Linked DNA regions of Pelodiscus sinensis. The protein of the gene in region 2 interacts with the protein of the main gene of each other region in a pairwise test. Links are inferred from orthologs where the notes say so. Each region holds a gene or a part of one and is shown on either strand. Other genes may lie near its edges.

Region 1 (11,324 bases), on a different chromosome or scaffold from region 2:
ACCATATGGAACAAGTTAGGTTATAATGAGGTAGTGTCCAATCTTTGACTATCCCCAGTCAAGTAATTTCCACTTTCATTTATTTTATGCCAAATAATGTTTGCATTATCTCCATCTAGTACTCCCATAGTATTTGTGTGACTCATTGTTAGGCTCGCTCTTAGCTATCAGTCCAATTCTGCTGACAATAAGATCTAAAAAGTGGGATTGGGCCAATATATAATCAGTCTTTGTTAGAGGACGCAGCCACAACACAGAATACCAAACCAGGGCACCTGTACCGGTCTTCTTCCACATATCAAGTTCAATCCTTAACTTCAGTCATGGGAGCAGTCCCATCAGGATTAGTCACATGCTTAAAGTTAAACAACTGCATTGCAGGATGGGAATCAGAGCCATTCAACACCCTAAAGAATCAAGGCCATAGTTCAAACTTCTCAAAACTCTTACTCTTCAAACATCTCAGCCATCTCCTCCCAAAACCCTCAATACTTCCTATGCCCCAAATTTCTCTGCTAAATTACTGCATGGATCTTTTCCACATATCCCTGTATTGAGCAGCTTTATGTCACCCTTTAACTTCAGAGAAGACTATTAACATTTTACTATAAAAAAAGAGTTTATTTATCAAATTTCTGTATTACTTGAACAAAAGTCATTCAGTTATGGCAAATGCTATAATGCTTTATGGGATTCTAACTGAAACATACAGTGTATAGTGTCAAGTAGCTTACAAATATTTGAACTCATAGACTAAGTTAAAAACCCTTAATTCACACTTGCCACTGTAAAAATGTCAGTGGTAGAACTCACAACAATCTCGTACTTTTCTAGTGATAGTACCATTGACTAATTTCATTACAACAGCAATATAAATAAACTTTCTGAAAGACTTTCTTGAGACAGTCACAGGAAATGCAAGTTTGTTAACATTAAATCATTTTACTTAAGAACTTTACAGGTTATTTCAATACTGTTAGGAGACCACTGGTCAACTACAAAGAACATGTTACATAAGTTTTGTTTAAACTTCACGCAAGGACTTAAAACAAGGCTACAGCAAGACATTAGTAGTCAAAACAATGATCAAGATTCACCATCACAGCCTAGAATAAATTTCTAGCATGACTGCTGCAGCTAAACTCCATAACACACAGCAGGACCTTTGTAAGGAAACAGAAATAAATCTGCTGCTTTGTTACTTTGTTTTAAAACAGTATGTTCAAAACTCTTTAATTAGCAGTCTAACTATGCAGGAAAGGTATTTGTGCATCACTGGGAAGAGAAGGATGGAGTGTTGTACATGCTGTGCTAGGGTATCAAGAACACAAGACCGAACTCTTCAAATAATCAGATCGTTTTGGTATGCAAATCCTCCTAAGTACATTTTAATTCCAGGCCAAACACGTACACACACTCTAACTTACAGTGAAAATAAACCACCCAGAAGAGGTGGAGCACTCATGCAGAAGTGCTACATTTTTGCTTTTATTAAAAAAAAAAAAAAAAAAAAAGGTTTCAGAGATTGTTCTGGCCCCAATCCTTCAACATGAGCTTCTGAGATGGAATCTCAGGTCAGCTGGTACGGGATCAGAGGACTGGGGATAACAGATTCAATTGTTTAGACCAATTTATTTTGCTCTTCCCAATACAACAGCATATGTAAGTATGCCTGGTCCACGTGGTACATTGCTAATCAAGAATAAATGTAGTACATTACTCTTAAAACATTGTTCTGTCCCTCTGTAAATCTTTAGATTTAAATCTACCCATGTTCATAATGTAGCTGCACTCTGGTTCTCAGACACACTAGGAGTAGTTTTATCATTTTCTATCATTTTATTTGGTACACATCAAACCATGGTAGAGTTCCTGACCAAAAAACATCAACAACTTTGCAATCACTCATTGCCCTGTGAGCAGCTCATAGCAAAAAAGAGTTAATCTCTGGGCGCAGACACTTACACCCACGGTTCACAATAGTCATAATTCTTGTGCATGTAAAATGACAGCCATCAAATTAGGAGTCAATTGAGACCTGCTCTGAAAAATCTTGAAAACCAATGACACTGAGGGATCTAGAGGCACTTGAATATAACCTAGGCCTTTAAAAATGTGGCAGCTCTTTGAAAAGTTACTGTAAAAACAGCCTTCTGAAATTTCACTTGTACTGTGTATCAATAACTCAAAATCATTTGTTGAGATCCTTCTGTCAGTCATGCAAACTCATCCTAGGTTTACAAAAGAATACTGTACACTCTTGTGGTTCAAGCATCCACTATCCTAAGTTTATATTTAGTTGAGATCACTTCTACAATACTCCGTTATGTACTATTTAAATTAAAAAAGGCTGCAAGGCAACTATTTCACCTTGATCTCAACAGTGTAACCCACAACTGAATAAGATTATCTAGGTCTAAATAAATCAGCTGCATTTGAACCTGCAACTGAAAAAGCTAAGTTTGATGATGCAACAGAAACCAGAGCCCTCTCCCAGGGTAGTACTGACACTGCACTGAACAGGTGTAAGAAGTAACTTATCTTTGTCACTGAAGTAAATAGGGTGATTTAGGGAAAGCAAGGGGAGGGGGAGTTGAGGGAAAGAGAATCTGTTAAATAAGGTGCCATTTTACACTCTTTTACTACTTTTAGAGTAGACTTGCCCTTCCAAAAAATGGTTTCTACAGATGACACACACATATTAGAGAAGTAAAATGCACTCTAACTAGGATTCCTAATATTCTAAAAGCTTCAATATTGAAAAATTTGTATGTATAGGTTATACACGCCAAATATAACAGCCTCGGATATTTGAGGAAGGTTTTGAAACTCAGCCCAGATCTGAAGAAAAGTGTCCATTAAGCACTATTTGAGGGTAGTGAACTCTAGCTGGACACTGCACTGCTATTCATACAAAGATTGTATCTGTTTTGACTTAGCTCCTCAAATCCTCTGAATAGCAGCAATTACAAGTACTTATACTGTACAGCACCGTGAGAAACTGGCATGTTCATTCAGGCACATTTTAATGAAACACCATTCACAACTACTGCACATAGTTAAACTACTTTTTTAAAAAAATTGTCAACAGATTTTGCAAGAGTAAGATACTGAAAGATCATAAATTCAGTTAATTTGCTGGATATATAGAGACAACATGAGCTATTTTCTGATTTAAGGTCCATGCCCCCTCGTGCTTGAGATATGCCCCCAGCAAGAAAAAGAGGAGAGAGGGGAAAAAAGCATCTGCTACTCAAAAGCTAACTTTAGCCTAAGACATGATTTAAATTATGTCAGTAGTCTTCCACCTCTGCTTCTTACATACACATCTACCAAAGCTAGAATGAAAGGAAATACTTCATCTCATGCATACAAAAGCAGCAAAATACTGTTATTATTTCAAACATTTGTTCTCCCTAAGGTAACTTTGAGGCCTCCCACCAACATAATAAATTAATTCTCCCAACAGGTTTTTTTAAAAAAAACAAATCTACTCCATCATCCTAAGGGACAAGGAGGGACACCCACTGTACAAGCCATCTGTCCTCACACTCAACAAGAGGATCATATTACAGAACTACTCATCTTTGCACGTTTCAGGTACCACATGATGTAGCAGACATTTTTGTAAAGTCTATAAAGGCATAGATGCTCACCCTAGAGATGGTCAGAGGCATGTTGAAGTCTTTTCCACCTTGAAGTCTAAAACCCCAAGGAGCAGGGCCGACCAAAGACACACTGTAGTTGCTCATGGTGTTGGATGCTGAAGGACTAGTTCCAGATAATAAATGTCTGTGAAAGAGGATTACATTTTAGTGTAAATCTTAATAAGCCATGTACACAATGAAATAGAAATATTAATTTAAAAGGGGGCACTGTCAACTCAAATATATGTTGCAAATAATTTTTTTCCCTGTTTTAAAGACCTTTAACTGTTAATAATGGGCTATAGAGGTCTCATTTGTTACTAATTGTCCTATCTGCTGACTTTTTGGCCTACCAGATTAGGAAATGAAAACATTATTTACTTTCTGATTCTTAGTACTGCAATATTTGGGTTTCACATACTGCATACAGTGATTTTTTTTAATAATTGTTTTCTTTGGAGAAAATGTGGAAATTTCTCCTATGTTTTTGTTTAGAGGTTATTTAATCTGGTTTTCACAAAATGTTAAGTACTGGATCAAATTTAAATTTACATGGTTCTAAAAATTACATAAGTACATAAAAATGTTAACAGTTTATGGAAAATATGTTAGCACAGTAATTTCCCACAAAATATATTTCCTGTGATACTATTAAGTCACAAGTGCACAGATGCATTCAAACACTCATTCACAAGTAGTGTGCTTGTTTTGGTTACACATTCAAATACCAAAAACTACAAAATGTATTATCGAAAGTTATTCCAAGGGGAAAATGTTGTTTCTTGGCATTTTTGCCAATAGTTTATGTACATCAGATAACTATTTCCATTTTTATAGTAGGCACATACAAGCTATTACAGAAGAAATCAGAAAAAAAAAAGAAACAAATATGCAGAGAAAATTATGTACCAAATACCAAGGCAACTTATTTAAGAAAAAGTATTTTAAGAGAATCCCAAGATTATTTTCCCTCCTCCCCCAACAAGGATGAAGGTTTACCTTTACAAAGCACGCTGTGCACTTATCTTTGATACTGAGCAACAAAATTAACAGCTTCAGCTGCACCACATACAGGCAACATTACAATGACGTCTTAGGTAGTAGCTACCTTCTATTTTTATATTTGAAGTGGAGGGAGGGGAGAGAGCGTGCACACACTAAGGGATGGATTACTGTAAGACTACACCAGAGCAATTTAAAATTCCACATTTACTTAATATAGGAAATTTAAGATCGAACTTCAGTCAAGCAGAAAAAAGTGTGTTTCAAGCATCAAGTACTGCAAGGATTATTTTTTTAGTATGTTTACACTACAGTATACATAAATCTAATAAAATGTCATTTCTATGGGACTACTGCCTGGGAAGTTCCATAAAATGTCTCACTCCAAGCCTAGAAATGCACAAAAGTAATGAGGCAAAATTATATAGATTTCTAGATACATTTCACCAAAAGAATCTAGCTCTTAAGCCTAATTTCCATATGAAGGATCAAAGTGTAATGGTCCTATTCACACCAGTAGTTCCATTTAACTAAATAAAATAGGAATATCTGGCTACAGCATGCTAACAAGATAACTTTTAGGAACTATTTCTCCAAGCTAACAACAGAACAAGATAGTCCCTGAACTACTTACATCCTCATGCCAGAAGCTGCAAAAGGACCATTGCGCCCACTGATTTCTTACGTTTCCATCTCCTGTGCTCCCACACGCAGCTGACCAAACATAGTCCCCTGAATGCCAATGCCTCCCTACTTGAAAGGATCCTTCTCTTCTTCCTTCCTTCCCTTCCCTCCCTCACCCACACAAAAGAAAATGTCCACAGACTGAGATATGATCCTTATAGAATTTGCTCATTAGTTCTAGGAAGAACTACAATTCACTGAATCATTCTATGTACTATACACTGAATTCCATCTAAAGTGCATATTTATTACAGATTTTACTACCATGAGAAAATGTTTTGTTCTCCCTAAATTAAGTTTATCATTTTAATGTGATCTCTCAGATTAATGGTGGTGGGGAAAACAAACCTTATCTAATGCATTGGAACTCAGTTTGATCACCGGTAAGTGACATGATTTCCCCCTCTCTCCCCAACTGAGAGCAAAATTAAGCATGTGAATATTTTTCCCTGAATGGGTTAAGAGGGGGAGAGTTTAAAAAATAATTCACGAAGAGATACCAGAAATTGGTTTGTAATGGTAAAAGGAATGGTAAGATACAATATGCCTCTCTGCACACACATACCCCTTTTGGGCTTGCAATTAAACTTCTGCATCTCATAAAACTAGAGAACTTTTTTGGGATGGGGAGGGGAAGGGGAGGAGAGCTACAGAAACACCCTAAGAAAACAGATTTACTGATGTGTTTGTGCCATCCTTAAAGATTCTACAGCTAACATCATGTGACTCAAAGCCCAGCAAATGCATGGATGCCCTCCTTATATCCATGGATGCAGATATCAAGAGACATGTCTGAAGATATAAAATGTGGATCTGCATCCATCTGCTATCTAGAGCCCAAATCTGCAGATATCCATGGCCCATGTTTGCAGAGAAGAGAGAGAGGTATAAATTTGGTGTATGTGCAGGGCTCTATTAATTGAAAATGAAAAGAGAATGAAAGAATTCTCTATGAAAAGAGAATGTGCAACAACTAGCTAAGGACTAAGTTGTGAAACTCTGGTGCGGCTGAACATTCAGTGATCCTTCTTGTGTAAGTGCTCAACAAAGCATTTTGCCATCTAAACATAAGTGAGGACAGGTTAAGTGCATCATTGCCCCCTGTAGGACAGAATCAGAAATGCTCAACTGTAGGTCATACTTCCAGTAATGCTAACAGATAACTGAGATACTAAAGTGACTGTGCATTCAGGAAAATCTGGTGTTCTGCTGCGGTGAATATCCCAGTATCCCCAATGTGCAGAGAAAAGAAAAAAGGAGACATCTTAAGTGGACATGTGTTATAGTATGAAATGATCAAAAAGTTAGGTTTGATTTTGTGTGTGTACTCCGTTGAACACCACACCATTTAAAAAAAGATTAAGCCTGGGCTTACAAGTGAAACTGCTGGCTTTACTGTTCCTGCAGCTATCTGGTTACAAAAGTCCCCACAGGCAAGAGGAAATGCATGGCCATAATCAAACAATTACACACCCTAAACTTGCCCAACCCAGCTCAGCTATGAACTTTCCTTCGCAAATCCTTTCCCTTCTTCCCCCCCCCCCCCCCTTCTCCCCTCACTTTTACCATTTTTGGTGCTACTTTGTGCAACATCCTTGCATGTAAAAACTAAAGCAGAGAGTGCGGGCACATGACACCCCGACACAGGCTTGCACGGTTGGCACCTACAAGACTGACTCTGGTCCCCGTTCCGCTGGCTGCTGCTGTTTTAAGCAGAGCTCTCCAAGAGGAGCACACATCAGTTACACGGTAACCCGTAAGAGCTCGGAGCTTGTCGCTTCCCTTAACACCAACAGCACGGTCGGCTACCAAGGGGCTTTCAAGGGGGGAAAACACCAAACCAACCGAAGCCACTCGCGAAGCGCGTAACAATTCAGAGCCACCCCAGGGGAGCCTCGCTTAGACACACCCGCTTTTCCTGCAGCTTCACATCGGCGCAACTCTCCGTCCCGCTCCCCCAGGGGCTCCGACCTGCCCACCCCCCTCGGGGCTTCAACGTGAGAGAGACTGCGCCCCGCGCCTTCCCCCCGGCACCAGGGGTGGATGCGCCGCTCGGGATGGGGCTGCAGACGCCCCGGAGCTCAGGCGCCTGCAGTCGCGCTGCAGAGCTGTCCCGGCCCGGTTCCCACGCACGGAGCCCCGGAGGAGGGGAGCACGCTGCGGCGCCTCCGGCAGGTGCCCCTCCTGCAGCCTGGCTAGCGCCGCACCTGAGCCACCAGCCCCCTCCTCGGCCGCAAGTGCCTCGCCGCGCTGCCCCAGGCGGTCCCCGCCCCGGCGCTCGGCACCTGCTCACCTGGGGGCTGCAGCAGCCGCGCGGCGGGAGAGGCCCGGGCGAGAGGCAGGGAGCTCGCAGCGCGTGTGAGAGGCTGGGGCTGCCGCGTCCCGCGGGGCTTGTTTTCACTTCCGCCTCGCTCTGCTCCTCCCCCGGCCCAGGAGGGATGGGGAAGTTCTCTGCTCTGCAGCCGAGCGAGAGAGGAGGAAGCCCTGCCGGGCGGGCAGCGGGGGAGGAGGAGCGGGTGAAAGGCCAGGACAACAGAGCCAAAAGAGAGCTCGCACAGAAAGTCAGGCCCTGGCCTGCCAGCCAGGGCAGCCCCGCCCAATTAGCGAAGGGTAGGGGGGTGCAAAATACTGTTCACAGCACCTAGGGTTACCTCAGTGCCACAGACATTCTGGAATAGTGATAGAGATGTAGCCGTGTTAGTCTGGTGTAGCTGAAACAAAATACAGGACTATGTAGCACTTTAAAGACTAACAAGATGGTTTATTAGATGATGAGCTTTCATGGGCCAGACCCACTTCCTCAGATCAAATAGTGGAAGAAAATAGTCACAACCATATATACCAAAGGATACAATTAAAAAAAATGAACACATATGAAAAAGACAAATCACACTACAGAAGAGAGGTGGGATTCAGGGGAGGGGGGAAGGAAGGTGAATGCCTGTGAGTTAATGATATTAGAGGTGGGGAAGGGGAGATGTCTGTGAGTTAATGGTATTAGAGGTGATAATTGGAGAAGCTATCTTTGTAATGGGTAAGGTAGTTGGGGTCTCTGTTCAGCCCCCTGCGGAGAGTGTCGAATTTTAGCATGAATGCCAGTTCAGAGGATTCCCTTTCAAGTGCAGATTTGAATGTCTTCTGAAGTAGGATGCATGTGATTAGGTCATTGAGACAGTGTCCTTTCTGGTTGAAATGGCAAGAAACTGTTTTTTTTCTTTGTGATCCTGTCTAATGTCTGTTTTGTGGGCATTGATTCTTTGGCGAAGTGTCTGAGTCGTTTGTCCAATGTACATAGCAGATGGACACTTTTGGCACATGATAGCATAGATTATATTTCTGGATGCGCAGGAATATGTATTCTTGATCTTAAAACTCACTTGGTTAAGCCCAATAATGGTATCAGCAGAGTGAATATGTGGACAAAGCTGGCAATGGGGTTTGTTGCAAGGGAAAGTACCAGGGTTGGTATTAGTGTGGTATGTCCTGTGGTTGTTGGTAAGAATCATCTTGAGGTTAGGTGGTTGTCTATAGGAGACTATGGGTCTGTCTCCCAGAGCTTCTTGGAGTTTAATGTCCTGTTCCAGTATAGGCTGTAATTTATTGATAATGTGTTGGACAGGTTTAAGTTGGGAGCTGTAGGTGATGACAAGTGGTGGTCTATTGTTGGTTTTCTTGGGTCTGTCTTGTAGTAGATGGTTTCTAGGTATTTGTTTGGCTCTTTCAATTTGCTTTTTTATTTCTCCAGGTAGGTAGTTGAGGTGTATAAATGCTTAGTAGAGATCCTGAAGTTTCTGGTCTCTGTCAGTGGGATTAGAGCAGATGCGGTTGTATCGACACTCTCCGCAGGGGGCTGAACAAAGACCCCAACTACCTTACCCATTACAAAGATAGCTTCCCCAATTATCACCTCTAATACCATTAACTCACAGACATCTCCCCTTCCCCACCTCTAATATCATTAACTCACAGGCATTCACCTTCCTTCCCCCCTCCCCTGAATCCCACCTCTCTTCTGTAGTGTGATTTGTCTTTTTCATATGTGTTCATTTTTTTTAATTGTATCCTTTGGTATATATGGTTGTGACTATTTTCTTCCACTATTTGATCTGAGGAAGTGGGTCTGGCCTACGAAAGCTCATCATCTAATAAACCATCTTGTTAGTCTTTAAAGTGCTACATAGTCCTGTATTTTGTTACAGACATTCTGGGCACTTGCCAGGACGCTGAATGACTTAAGACGTCCAGCATTCCTATTAGTGTGAAATGCTGTATAATCATCCCCATTAGCCACCCTGGAGAACAGTCCCAAGACCAGTAATAGATTCAGCTGCAGTAGAGAGGTGGATAGTAGCAGCAGTAACGCTCAGGTGTGTGGCAGAGTTGTGCTGGGTACAGCAGGATAAGGGTGCACACGTGACTACACCATTTGTGCCACACCACCTCCCACTACTAGGACCAGCTGGGGGGCACTTTGTTCTGCCAGCAGCTGAAGTTCTGAGAGTGTGCCAGTCCTGCTTCCCTTCCGGTCTCGTGCTTATCCTACGTCAGGGATGGCAAGTTATATGGGCCGATGGTGCCCAGGCTCTGGGGATATTCCTGGCCTCAGGACTGGCTCCAGCAAAGTTTGGGGCCTGGTCTCTCCTGGGTCCCATCTGCTGACCCCATCCATCTACCCCCACATATCCACTCCCCCCCACACTGTGCATCCCACAGCCAGCCTGCTGCCTTGGGCAATTTAAAAATGATGCAGGGGCCCTCACTGCCAACACCACTGGTAGTGCAGGAGGGCTGGAGCAGCTTCCTATTTACTCCCTACATGTATGGTGGCCAAAACATTCCTATAGCCCCTGGGCTAAGGGGGCGGGAGCAGTGTCTCTATCCCCTGTCCCTGCCCTGAGTCCCCTATGTGCAATGGGAGTTGTTGATGTGGTGCTTGAGAGCTGCTACCAGGGCAGGGTGCCCCAGGTAAGTGCTTCACCACCTCCTGCACCCCCACCTCTTGACCCAGCCAAGAGCCTGCACCCCAAACTTCTTCACAGAGCCTACACCCTCTCCTGTACCCCAGTCCCATGCCCAGACCAAAGTCTGCACCCAAACTCCATCCTAGAACCCACATCTCAGACATTTTCCCCACCCAAATTCCCTCACCGGGATGGAGGGACGGACACCCCACCCCCCTTCCTCTCCCTCCTTTGTGTGAAGAAGGATGCAGACTTTTTGTGTTTCAGAACAAGATCAAAATTTCTAGAAACCTGCTGCACTTGCCCTAGTTAGTTCCAGCCACGCACCCTGAGATAAGCCCTCAGGTCTAACTGGCAGAGGTTAAGCATTCACCAAGCTTTTAGGGAAGGAAGAGCTCCATAAAGCCTAGTATTTTTAGATGCAGGGGTGACGGATTTCATCTCTAGTTACTGTAGTTACTTCCTACTGTGGACGTGAGAAGCTGATGGGATGGCTTTGTATTTGCTCAGATTTTTAAGCCTGTGGCAAAAGCACTTAGACACTGCAGCAGGCACTTTTAAAATGTATTTATTAAAAATAAAAAGGACTACAGTGAAAATGGCTTGCAAAATTTTTTTTTTCCAATTAAACAGTATTTATGTGGCTGGACTGGAATGCACTTTTGGTAATGGTTCCTCCCAATGCTCCCTTCCCCTCCCCACTTCCGATTTAGCATCTCTGCTCAGGCTAAAAAGAAAATCCCTATTGCATGCAGAGACTTAAGCTCCATCACATGATTTTTAGATCAGGGTGGTTAAAAAAAAAAAAAAAAAAAAAAAAAAAAAAACACATTCCCCATAACAATGATTTTTCATTCTGTAACAAAGTTTTTAGGGCACTTTCATGCTGTTTTATTTATTACCTAGGTTCAAACACAGACCTAAAATATTTCAGGTAGTGCAAAGCCTCAGGATCCTGTTTGACTTTGCATTTATTCCAGGCTAAGATGTAGCTTTACTAATGAGAAATATCCTTGCCCATTTACAGTTT
Region 2 (11,596 bases):
GGTATGTCTACACTACCACCCTAGTTCGAACTAGGGTGGTAATGTAGGCAACCGGAGTTGCAAATGAAGCTCGGGATTTGAATTTCCCGGGCTTCATTTGCATAAAGCCGGGCGCCGCCATTTTTAAATGTCCGCTAGTGCGGACTCCGTTCCGCGCGGCTACACGCGGCACGGACTAGGTAGTTCGGACTAGGCTTCCTAGTTCGAACTACCGTTACTCCTCGTGAAATGAGGAGTAACAGTAGTTCAGATTAGGAAGCCTAGTCCGAACTACCTAGTCCGTGCCGCGTGTAGCCGCGCGGCACGGAGTCCGCACTAGCGGACATTTAAAAATGGCGGCGCCCGGCTTTATGCAGATGAAGCCCGGGAAATTCAAATCCCGGGCTTCATTTGCAACTCCGGTTGCCTACATTACCACCCTAGTTCGAACTAGGGTGGTAGTGTAGACATACCCTGAGTCTGGCTGGGGATTCCATTTTTCCCCCTCCCCCCCCCACATACCCTCCCAGGAGTAGTTGCGAACTGCCTGGCAGGTAGGCACACTCAGGCAGCGTGAGCACATCTACCAGCCAGGCAGTTCGCAACTAAGAACTGATACACCTAATTATAATAAAGCTTACCTAATTAGAAAATACCAGGCATTTTATATGTCTGGTAATTTCTCAATTTCTTTCCCGGACAAAACCTTCAAATACCGGCCTGTCGGGTACAAAACTGGATACCTGGCAAACCCTACCCTTCCTTCCACCCTCCCTCCTAGTCAGATACCCTACCCCCAATCTGCTCCTGCTCCCGCCTCCTGGAGTGCTCATGTGACGCCGGGTCCCCCAAGCCCTGGCCCAGGCTGGATGGAGGATGCAGCTGGGTATAATACTGAAAATTTATTCATTTTTCATTCTTTTTTTTATATGCGTTTATATTTTTGGGCTGCAAAAAACAGTACTAAAAAAAACCGGGTTCCAACTAAAGTAAAAAGTTTGGGAAACCCTGATCTAGCCAGCGTTCTATCCATCTTACAGTCCATTTATCCAATCCACATTCCCTTAACTTGCTGGCAAGAATATTGTGGGTGACGGTATCAAAAGCTTTGCTAACGCTGTCGCTGGGGGCTTTGGGAGGACCAGAAACAACTTATTTGAATATTTGTGATTTGCTTAATGAATATGCAAGTATGCAAATGAATGTTACCAGTCCTCCAAAAGCTCGTGAATGGATTTCCTGGTCCCTGTGTCAAAAAGTTTGGGAACCCCTGGTTTATGCTATATGCTTTTTTATATAGGGTAGTCAGAGCTAAATACATACCCCATTTGCAAGGAGTTCCATTATATAATTTAATTTATATAACAGCTTTATAATATTTTCAGTATTCTTTTTCTGACCTGAAAACTTAGTTCAGATATTCTCTGAGACCTAAGTCATGGCTCAAAATCTTATTCCTGTATAACTAGAATATCATGGCAGAGCAGTATGTTGAAATCAAGATTCCTTTTAAAATGTCTTTCACAATATCTTACCTGAAGCCACATAATGAGAGGTAATTCCGTGAAATTTTTGGTAGGGTTGTTTGCATAGTAGAGCCACCAAAACATGCTTGCATTGCTTCTGACTGTTACATACCCCCATGATTCTCTTTGTTCTTGTGATTGTTTTAGAACTGCACCTAAAGAAAAAGGTTATCTGATTCAACATGCTAGGGTTGGGCATTTGACCAATTCAAAACCAACAACAGGCCAAATATTTTAAAGAATTAATTTATTATAACAGTAACAAAGAGAAAGATTTTATTGATTGTGGTAGGCTAGGCCTTAAATACTTATACCTAATCTCAAAAAGTAAGTTTCGAACAGTTATTAACTGAGAAAAATGTGAAACCCAGTGAAATGAACTTCTTAAAAATGAAAGGATGGCACCATAATACAAACAAAAATGTAAGTCACTGCCTATACAAAAGCATTCTGGCTAGAATAATTGATCATGATCAGATAATGGATGGTCAGTTATCTGCCAAGCCTAAACTAGAATGTGAAATACTTGGCCTTAAAACACTTGACCAATAGCAACTTAGCTGAAGATTTCAGGAGCAATATTAGTGGCCTCGAATGAGCCAACATTCTGCTAGCAGTGTTATCAGAATGTTTTGAAAACACCACAAGTAGAGGAAGGGTTATCAGTGTGACTGTTCTAAAATAATTAGTTCAGCCTTATTCTCTTCGGCTCTGATGTGAACCTTTGTAGCCTCAATAATTCACATTCATTCGTATTGCCAAAATGGACTTCAGCTCATCTGTTCATGTTGTGCCATGGTTTCAAAAAGGATTGCATTCTCAATCCTCTGCATTAGCCTGTGTCATTCATTGATAAGCTTTTTGGGACTATTAACATCACCTAAAAATGCTGCCTGCTTTGAAGTGCAACAATGCATTTGCCTTATACTCAAAAACTTTCTGCTGTCCTATCAAGCAATCACACCCAAGATAGGTATTTTGAGCTTTACACCAAACTCTATGGCTCTGATCCTACCATTGGATCAAAAAAGTAGACCATGCACTTATGAAGTGGGTGCAGGCAAGAGGCCTTTATTTTCAGGCAGCTTCACTCAAGGGAATATTGCATTACCCAGTATCAAAGGGCTTGGAACATACAAGCTGAGGATGGAAGCCAAAGGCCAAGCCACAAAAGTCTTGTGCTAGGAGGGAAAATCAGCATCAAGTAAACTAAGATTTACCTTTCCCAGTATAAGCGTGATTCTAACTTTAAATCAATTGTTAGGAATTAACTGGTCAATTGCTTACAATGATCAACAAAGGTGTGTCTTGAAGTTATTTTTCTAACTTCAGGAAAAATCCTGAAGCTGGGCTTGAAAGCAGTTTAACAGCTGGGGCTACGTCTACACTGGCCCCTCTTCCGGAAGGGGCATGTAAATTTCACGAGTCGTCGTAGGGAAATCCGCGGGGGATTTAAATATCCCCCGCGGCATTTAAATAAAAATGTCCGCCGCTTTTTTCCGGCTTTTAAAAAAGCCGGAAAAGAGCGTCTAGACTGGCCCCGATCCTCCGGAAAAAGTGCCCTTTTCCGGAGGGTCTTATTCCTACTTTGAAGTCTAGACGCTCTTTTCCGGCTTTTTTAAAAGCCGGAAAAAAGCGGCGGACATTTTTATTTAAATGCCGCGGGGGATATTTAAATCCCCCGCGGATTTCCCTACGACGACTCGTGAAATTTACATGCCCCTTCCGGAAAAGGGGCCAGTGTAGACGTAGCCCTGAAGTGCAGAGTATCTGCTTGATTTTTACAAGTCCTTGTCCTTTTTATTACCCCCACAAGGTTGCATTGTACAGTAGCTCACAGTAAATCAGAGGTGCAATTTGAATAAGGAATTTTTTTAGCTTAAACATTTTCTTTTGGAGTTTCACTTTATGAAATTATTTCAAGAAATACAGAGGTCCAGCAAGATCCTCAGTTGTATGACCTCTCAAATTTAGACTGACAGATCACATGCATAGTCATTTATCAACATAAAACAGTCTCCCCACTTATATCTTATCAATAAGATAACAGTAAGCTCCAAAACTTCTCAGTTACATTAAACTGATGATGAAGAATGATATTTTGTCTGAGAAAAGTTACACAACTGAGACTTTATCTTCACTTGTCTCTGTTGGGAAACCAGGGAGGGTGAGACAAGCAGCAGATAGTCCATAGAAATCCTCTTCTGTGTAAGAAGGTGGCATCTTTAACCCACCCTACACTAGCTTCATGCTTTTGAGGTAGGGCTGAGGTGGAAATCAGCCACATAATAACAACTGACACTATATCTTAAGGGTGCATAGCACATACTTCTACATTAAAGAGAAGCACATAACTATCAAATTAAAGCACCAATTCCCAACAACAACAACAAATTACACACAATTTGAAACTCAAGCTTTTACCTCAGTGGTGGGCAGCCTGCGCCCGAGGACTGCATGCAGCCCATTGGGGTTCTATGTGTAGCCCGCAAGACGACCATTGCCCATCCACAGAGTTTCCAAATTCTGCTAATTTCTGTCCATGTCGTTTTTTTCCTACTAGTATTATTAAAGTGACACATGCTTGAAAGCAAGAGCAGATGAAGTACATGCTGATTGCACACAACATTGACTGTGAGCCCCATGTACTCCCTCTGCATCCAGTCAAAGTGCTGCTAGGATTCAATCTGCACACCCTGCAAATTCCAGGTACACAAGAGCAGTTAGCAAAACTACCTTATCCTGGGAGACGGGCTTGGTTATGGCCCACTGAGATGAACTAGGGTCATTTATGCAACCCACTCATTAGCCTAGGTTGCCCATTGCTGCCCTAACTTGCAATTCGGAGGCTGTACAGACTGACCCATGCAGAGTTCTATTTAAGTCAGTGGGTTCTATGTGCGGGAAAAGAGCCATTCATATGGTCCTTATTGAAGGATACAGGCTTCACAATTCAGTTCTTATAAATACAACATAAATAAAAGACTGTCTGGTTATCACTTCAATAATGCAAAACTACTTTTGTGGAAGTAAAAAGGACTTACTCCTTGAGATTAGTGGGCTGCAGAATACTCCCACAGCAGATATGTACGTTTTTAGGACATTGAATCAGATAGATCCCTGATTCACAGGCAAATACTTGCTCTTGACTTCAGTAGGGTAATTCACATGGGTGAAATTTATCTCTATTGTTAGGGCCTGATTCTGAACACAGTTCAGACATTTTCCATTGCGAAAGACTAAGGGAACAGCCAGAGTGTCCCAAGAAAGTGATTACACAATTAATGTCACGGGATAGGCAAAGCTTAAAAGAGCATGAGCCCCTTAAAAATCACTGCACAAAACGCTCAGCACGTCTGCATTTAAATGCTTCTGCCAGGACATAGGACAAAAATAAATAAATTAATAAATGGGGGAAGGGGTTGGTACACACGGTGAAGAGAGTCATCATTCATTCCTCAGCGTTCACCTAACAATAAATGCCTTAAAGTTCAGCAAGCCACAAAATCAGTTTAGAGCAAGTTTACTAGGAAGGTGCTTTGAGCAATGTCTATCACCCTAGTCCCAGTAACGCCTCATGGAGCTAGTTAAACATGCTCCCTCATACACTTAGCCTTTACCAAACGTACCTGAACCCAAAGTCAGCAGGAAAAGCATCGGAATAACATGTTGCCTAAGCAGCAGCTCCATCTCTGCAGCAACTGGGGTGGGGAGTTTCCTGACTGAAAATCATATGACTCGAGTCTCCAGTCAGCTATGTAGTAAAAAGGGAAGTGGTGGCTCTCAGGTTACAAAGGGAGCCGGTTACTAGCCAAGGGCGCCCTCTTGCCTCTCCTACATGATAAATGCAAGAGAGATCTGCACTGGTTACACTGTTAACGTGGTTCTATCTGTGCTTTACCAGACTGTCTGATTTCCCCATTTATGCCACAGAATGTACCGACCTTGGTAATAGGAAAACTTTCTTTGATGCTGGGCTCTAACTGCAGCTTGTGAAATGAGGAAAGGAAGTGTGTATAAAATCAGTGAGTGAAACCTGTGCTAAAGGGATTTAGATTAATCTGTTTCCACTTCTCTAGTGCTTTACGGTTTCCAAATTCAGATTCCCTACAGATACAACTGTAAGCAAATATTTTCCCTCCCGTTCCCCCCCCCCCCCAAAAATGCCCTCATATTTTAGATTCTAATTTTATCCTAGTCAGGATTAACACTTTCAAGAACTCCTTGTGTGTATCTTGCAGCTCTAACCCAAAGTGGGCTGTGCCCATTAAAGCTCATGATACCATCTACATGTTTTAGTTAGTTTATAAAGTGCTACCAGACCATTTGTTGTTTTTTAAGTTTATCCTGTACAGACTAACTCGGCTACCCCCTGAAGCTTATTTTTCTCATGTGAGTAGTGAAGTTAATGAGACTCCACACAGGAGAAAGGCCCAACCCTGTAAATCTGACTGCAATATCCTAGATTTAAAATGTTTATACAAGTTCTTCTAAGAGCATAAAAGCAGAATTGTTTTACATGATTAGTTTTTCATGGGGTGTGCTGGAGGACAGAAGGAGGAAAACATTTAAATGATAATTAAGGCTTTACTCTTGCATCTGGCTCTACCCTCGGCATATTTTAATACTATGCATGCCCAGTTGCAGGATCCGGGTCTAAAACACACACCAAGGTGACAGAGGTAGTATATTTTATTAGCTCATCTTCCGTTGATGAGAGACAAGCTTTTGAGACACACAAAGCTCTTCTTCAGGTGACTAATTCTCGGGGATCTCCCTATGAAAAGGAGGCTCTATGGAACACTGTCGGAAACAGGCTCCCTGATCCTGCTCTGAGCTCCACCGCCCGGCAAAAATCAATACCAGGCCAAAACCAAAGTCCACGAAGCGCTCAGTAATGAACACACGGGGGCAGGGGGAGGTAGCGGGATGAATAGCAATGCAAAGCAGCTGCTCCCGCCTGCCCTGTTCTCCGGCTGCAGTTCGCCACGGCTGCCGGCAGGTGGCGCGCGCATCGCGAAGCTGCCGATGCCTCTTGTCCCGCGTCGGGCACCGTAGCCCCCTTCCCCCGCTCTGGCCTCCTTGTTCAAGATGGCGGCGGCGGCCGGGGGAGGGGGCCCCGTGCGGCTCCGGCTGCTCTTTGACTACCCGCCGCCGGGGAGCCCGGGCTGCTCGCTGTGCTGGCTGCTGCTGGAGCCCAGCCAAGTGCGCCTGGTCACCGACCTCATCAGCCTCATCCGGGACAAGTTCGGCTTCAGCCGCCGGGCTCAGCTCAGCCTCTTCCTGGAGGGGGCGCTGCTGCCGCCCACCGAGAGCGCGCGCCTGGTGCGGGACAACGACTCCCTCAGGTAGCGGCCAGGCACGAGGCTCGCTCAGAGACTGGGGGCGGGGTCAGGCAGCTGGAAGGCGCGAGGCGGCGGCGGGGGGTCAGAGGGAGGGGAAGGCTCGAGGCAGGGGGGGGGAGAGGGTCAGAGGGGGGGAAGGCGCGAGGCAGCGGGGGGGGGAGTCGGAGGGGAAGGCGCGAGGCAGTGGGGGGGAGAGGGTCAGAGGGGGGGAAGGCGCGAGGCAGCGGGGGGGGGAGTCGGAGGGGAAGGCGCGAGGCAGCGGGGGGGAGAGGGTCAGAGGGAGGGGGAGGCAGCGGGGGGGGGGGAGGTGCCAGCCTCCCAGAAGTGTGGGGGGAGGAGGGAGGGTCCCTCAGGTAAGAACATAAGAACGGCCATACTGGGTCAGAGAACGGTTCATCCAGCCCAGTGTCCTGTCTGCCGACCGTGGCCAATGCCAGATGCCCCAGAGAGAGGGAACACAATAGATAATCCTCACTCGATCCCTCCCCCACCTCCAGACAAACAGAGGCTAGGGACACTGTTCCTACCCATCCCGGCTAATAGCCATTGGTGGACCTAACCTCCGTGAATCTATCTGCCGCTCTTTAGAACCCTGTTAAAGTCCTCGCCTTCACCACATCCTCTGGCAAGGAGTTCCACAGGTGGACTGTGCACTGAGCAAAGAAGAACATCCTTCTGTTGGTTTTAAACCTGCTGCCGTTTAATTTCATTTGGTGATCCTTAGTTCTTATATTGTGGGAATAAGCAAATAATTTCCTTATTCGCTTTTTCCACACCGGTCATGACTAAATCTGTTAATGGCCCTGATTAACCGCAGCTACCATAACGCCACTACCCCACATGCTCTGCATTTAAAACTCAGAGTTTAAAATGAAGAGCATTCAGGGGAGCTGTCTGCCACCCATGATACAGAGGCAACAGTGCAGGGTGGCAGGTGGGGAGCCAGTCTAAAAACCTGAGCTCCCCACGAACAAAGGCTACTCTGTGTGATTCAAAGAACTAGATAAATTTATGGAGGTTAGGTCCATCCATACTTATTAGTCAGAATGGGTAGGAATGGTATTGCTAGCTTCTGTTTGTCAAAGGCTGGAAATGGATGAAAGGAGAGGGATCACTTGATTACCTGTTTCTGTTCACTACCTCTGGGGCATATGACATTGGCCACTACTGAAAGACAGAATACTGGGCTTAGATGGACCATTGGTCTGATCCGGTATGGCCGTTCTTATGTGTCACAGGCAGCAGTGCAAGATGGCAGGCAGGAGCCGGTCTGCCTGGGGAACCAATTTTTAAACTGGCTCCTCTCACGGACGGGTTTCTGCCTGCCACCCTGCGCTGCTGCTTCTGATACAGAGGTAGCAGAGTGGGGCTGGGAGCGCACTGACTGCTGGCCCCATCTCCAGGGGCCATTGAATAATCTGCTAACAATTGTTGTGATTACACAATTACTAAATTAAACAATTTGAAACATCCCTACTCTATTCTCCTTGTGCAGACACCTTTTAATACCTTTCAAATCATATCATCTGGTCATATTGTAGCCGAAGTTTTAACACTCTTTTGAAAAGCACATTTATTGTTGTCTGGAAGTCCTCTTAAAATCTTGAGATTTTGGAGGCAGGTTTAGAGTGGTATACAAACTCTGTGCCTCAGCCCAAATATCAGAAGTTTGGCAGGTGTGGTGAGAGGAAATCTGGGGTGCATGGCAAGGCTTCTATGCTGCTGGAGGACAGTATAACCCATATTCCCTGCAGATTGCCCACTGAGTGCCCTTAATACATGGCATCTGCACTAGGGATTTAAAATCCTATGTAGTTGGTTAAGTGGTTAAAGGTGGTGATAACTAATTAACTGATTAAAGGGAGCTAGGCAGTGGAGTTGGTGCACCCTCTCTCCCAACCCCACAGGAGCAGCCCCTGCCTGAAATGCACCCAGGCATGCTGTGGACAGAGGCTGCTCTGGAGAGCCAGAGCAGCCCCTGAATGAAGAGTGTCTGCTGCAGAGAAGCTGTTCCATCCAGGCTAGAATGCCCTTGTGCACGGCAGGCCTGGTGGGGCTGGAACAGCCCCCTTCACGCTATGGGCAAGAATCTACTCCATCTCCCACCCCTTAATCGGAACCGGTAAGAATCCCTTGTTAAGGGGGATGCTTATTGGTTAACCTTTTACATCCCTAATTTATGCTGGCATGTGGATCGCTTGGGCACCAGGGATGTGTTGCAGTGTGCACTACCCCTTTTCCCACACATGAGCATTTGGGGATTAAGGGTGTAAGTGACTAGTCGAGTAACTACTCGCTTTCCCTCCCCCCTCCGTGCTGCCTCTGTATTGGGGGAGGTTCCCACAGCACTGACTCTGCGGTGGACAGAGGAGGCAAAGGCTCAGTGGTCTGAGATCCAGCTTGCACCAGGTCCTGGACCTACCCCCCACTGCAGCTCCGCATTTTAAATGTAGTAAGAGCCAGGTGGGCAGATAGTGGAAGCCGGCTTCCACTATCTGCCCACCTGGCTCTTACTACATTTAAACTGCAAAGCTGCAGTGAGAATAGGTCCAGGAAACAACACAATCTGGGACTTAGCAGACCCGCATGAGCCAGGGCTGGGACCTACCGCTGCTGCGGCTCTGCAGTTTAAATGTAGTAGGAGCCGGGCTGCCTCCACACCTGGCTTTTGCTACATTTAAACTGCAGAGCCACTTCAGGGAAATTTATCAGCTAATTGTGTAGTAAATACAAATTTTATCAACTGCACAATTAGTCAGTTACCCACTTCTTAACATCCTTACTGGGGATTTTAGGCTGTTTGACAGTTTAATCTTTGGCGTACTTTGTTTTTGAGATTAGTTTGTTTCCATCTCTTCGTCTGCTGAGTTAATATTTTTTAGCTCCTACGTGAATAGCTATGACATCCTAGACCAGTGGTCTCCAACCTTTTTACACCCAAGATCACTTTTTAACTCAGTCCCGCCCTCTCTTCTCCTGTCCATCACTTGCTATCTCCAGCCCTTATACACTCTGTTAAACAGTTTATTTTTAAATTATGCAATATATAAAATTAAAATCACGTTTATAGTTATGAAATAAATGGTCTTTTTAATTCATGCTATTTAAATGTCAAATGAAGCATTTACAATTATACATTTTGTTCTCTGCTATTTTGTAAATCTAAAATCAAGTATTGATAAGTATATATTTTTTCTTCCAATAACAAAGTCTCAGTGTGACACCTGTGACTGAACAGTATCTGTCAGTGTCTTGAAGTCTGGGTTGTAGTCTGAGTTTGCTAGTCGTATACAGTCCATCAGATGGGCATCTGTGATCCTGCGCTCAGCTTGGGAAGCTTGCTCCAGCACAGCTGGAGCTAGACGCAGCCTCCCTGGGCTAAGCGCAGGGCAGCCAGGCTGGAGGGAAGAGAAGTGGCTGCCTGGGCAGCTGGCCATGGCGCTCAGCCTGGGTGCACCAAGCTCCATGTGGGCAGGCGCAGAGGAGAAGCCGCCAATCAGCTGGAGCGTGGGGTAGCCTCTTTCAGCTGAAAGCCAAAGTCAGCTTGCTGGGGTGATTCAGCCCTCCCGACGTCTCAGCTCCCAGCATTCTCGCAGCTACTCGCCTGTGTTGTTGCTCGGTGAGTAGCAGCTCCTCAAATGAGGAAATCTAATGTAAATGTTCTGCGCAGGCACACAGTTCAGAGAGGGCTCAAGAGATACTCTTAGAGCCCCTGAGATCTACCGGTAGATCACGATCTACTGGTTGGTGACCACGGTCCTAGACCGTAGTCTAATAACTATTTTAAACTCAGTATGTAGAAAGGAATATTAATGTACTAGTTGTACTGAACATTGGTTTATTGTCTTTTTGACAGAGTTAAATTGGAAAAGATAGTTTCAGATAGTTGTGATGAGATTGGTAATGGTATAATTTACTCATCAAGAAAAGAGAGAAAAAAATATAGCCAAAAGTTGGAAGTGGAGGGGAATGCTAAAAGTGAAGATGACAGACACAGAAGGAAAAAGAAGAAGAAACAGAGCCCTGAACATCTTTCTTGTAAGGAAGAGGACTCTGTAAATGTTCAAGACACTCGGAAAAAGTCCAAGAAAAGAAAAAGAAAAGATGTGAATGAAAGAAATGATATCGCAGGAGGAAATGATGACAGCAGTCTTGATGAGTCCAAAAAACTTAAAAAAAAGTCCGAGGGAAAGAAAGATCTGGAAACAGAAAGAAAGGATGCTAAGCAGAGAAAAACAAGGCCAATTAGAGAAAAGACTGTTTTAGAAAAAGCCAACCACAATTTCCCTCTGAATCCTAGTAAAAGTAGCTCAGTAAAAAACATTGCAGCACAGTCTAGCAAAAAGAGGGAAGGAATTTCAGATCGTGATTCCTCCAGCACATCATCTGACAGTGAAATGGATATGAAACAAAATAAATCCTCACATAAACCTATGGCAGCAATGCTACACAGAGACAAATCCCAACTTGCAAATTCTGTTATAAAAACTGTTGTTGCTAGTAAAGTTACTGCCAAGTCTACAGATGAAAATTTCCCCAAGACTGCAATTAGTAAAAAAACTAAACCCCAGTCCTCTAGTTCAGATTCTAACTCTAGTATAGAGATGGAAGAAGAGCAGCAGCAGCAAAGCAATGACTCAAAGGGAAAACTGCTGCCTAAAAATCCCCCAGTTGTGAACATTATGGCAAAGTCCCCCAAAGCAAAGACCTCTTCTTCGGAGTCTGATAGTTCAGATTCAGAGACAT

The links.
Region 1: the proteins of COIL (region 2) and PDLIM5 interact in binary tests that used the Homo sapiens proteins (3 or more experiments, as listed by UniProt). The two-hybrid records come from large-scale screens. The link is inferred for Pelodiscus sinensis from reciprocal best matches to the Homo sapiens genes COIL and PDLIM5.

The regions. Positions count from the first base shown.
Region 1 is NC_134715.1:19,388,194-19,399,517, reverse strand, and holds the start of PDLIM5 (PDZ and LIM domain protein 5), read right to left. Parts: upstream 5,438-11,324; 5' UTR 5,292-5,437; coding exon 5,284-5,291; intron 4,787-5,283; exon of another isoform or gene 4,647-4,786; intron 3,793-4,646; coding exon 3,657-3,792; intron 1-3,656. UniProt on the Homo sapiens protein: May play an important role in the heart development by scaffolding PKC to the Z-disk region. May play a role in the regulation of cardiomyocyte expansion. Isoforms lacking the LIM domains may negatively modulate the scaffolding activity of isoform 1.
Region 2 is NC_134730.1:18,934,242-18,945,837, reverse strand, and holds the start of COIL (coilin), read left to right. Parts: upstream 1-6,551; 5' UTR 6,552-6,596; coding exon 6,597-6,853; intron 6,854-10,706; coding exon 10,707-11,596. Other genes in the region: SCPEP1 (retinoid-inducible serine carboxypeptidase), read right to left, coding at 1,515-1,660, 5,135-5,195. UniProt on the Homo sapiens protein: Component of nuclear coiled bodies, also known as Cajal bodies or CBs, which are involved in the modification and assembly of nucleoplasmic snRNPs.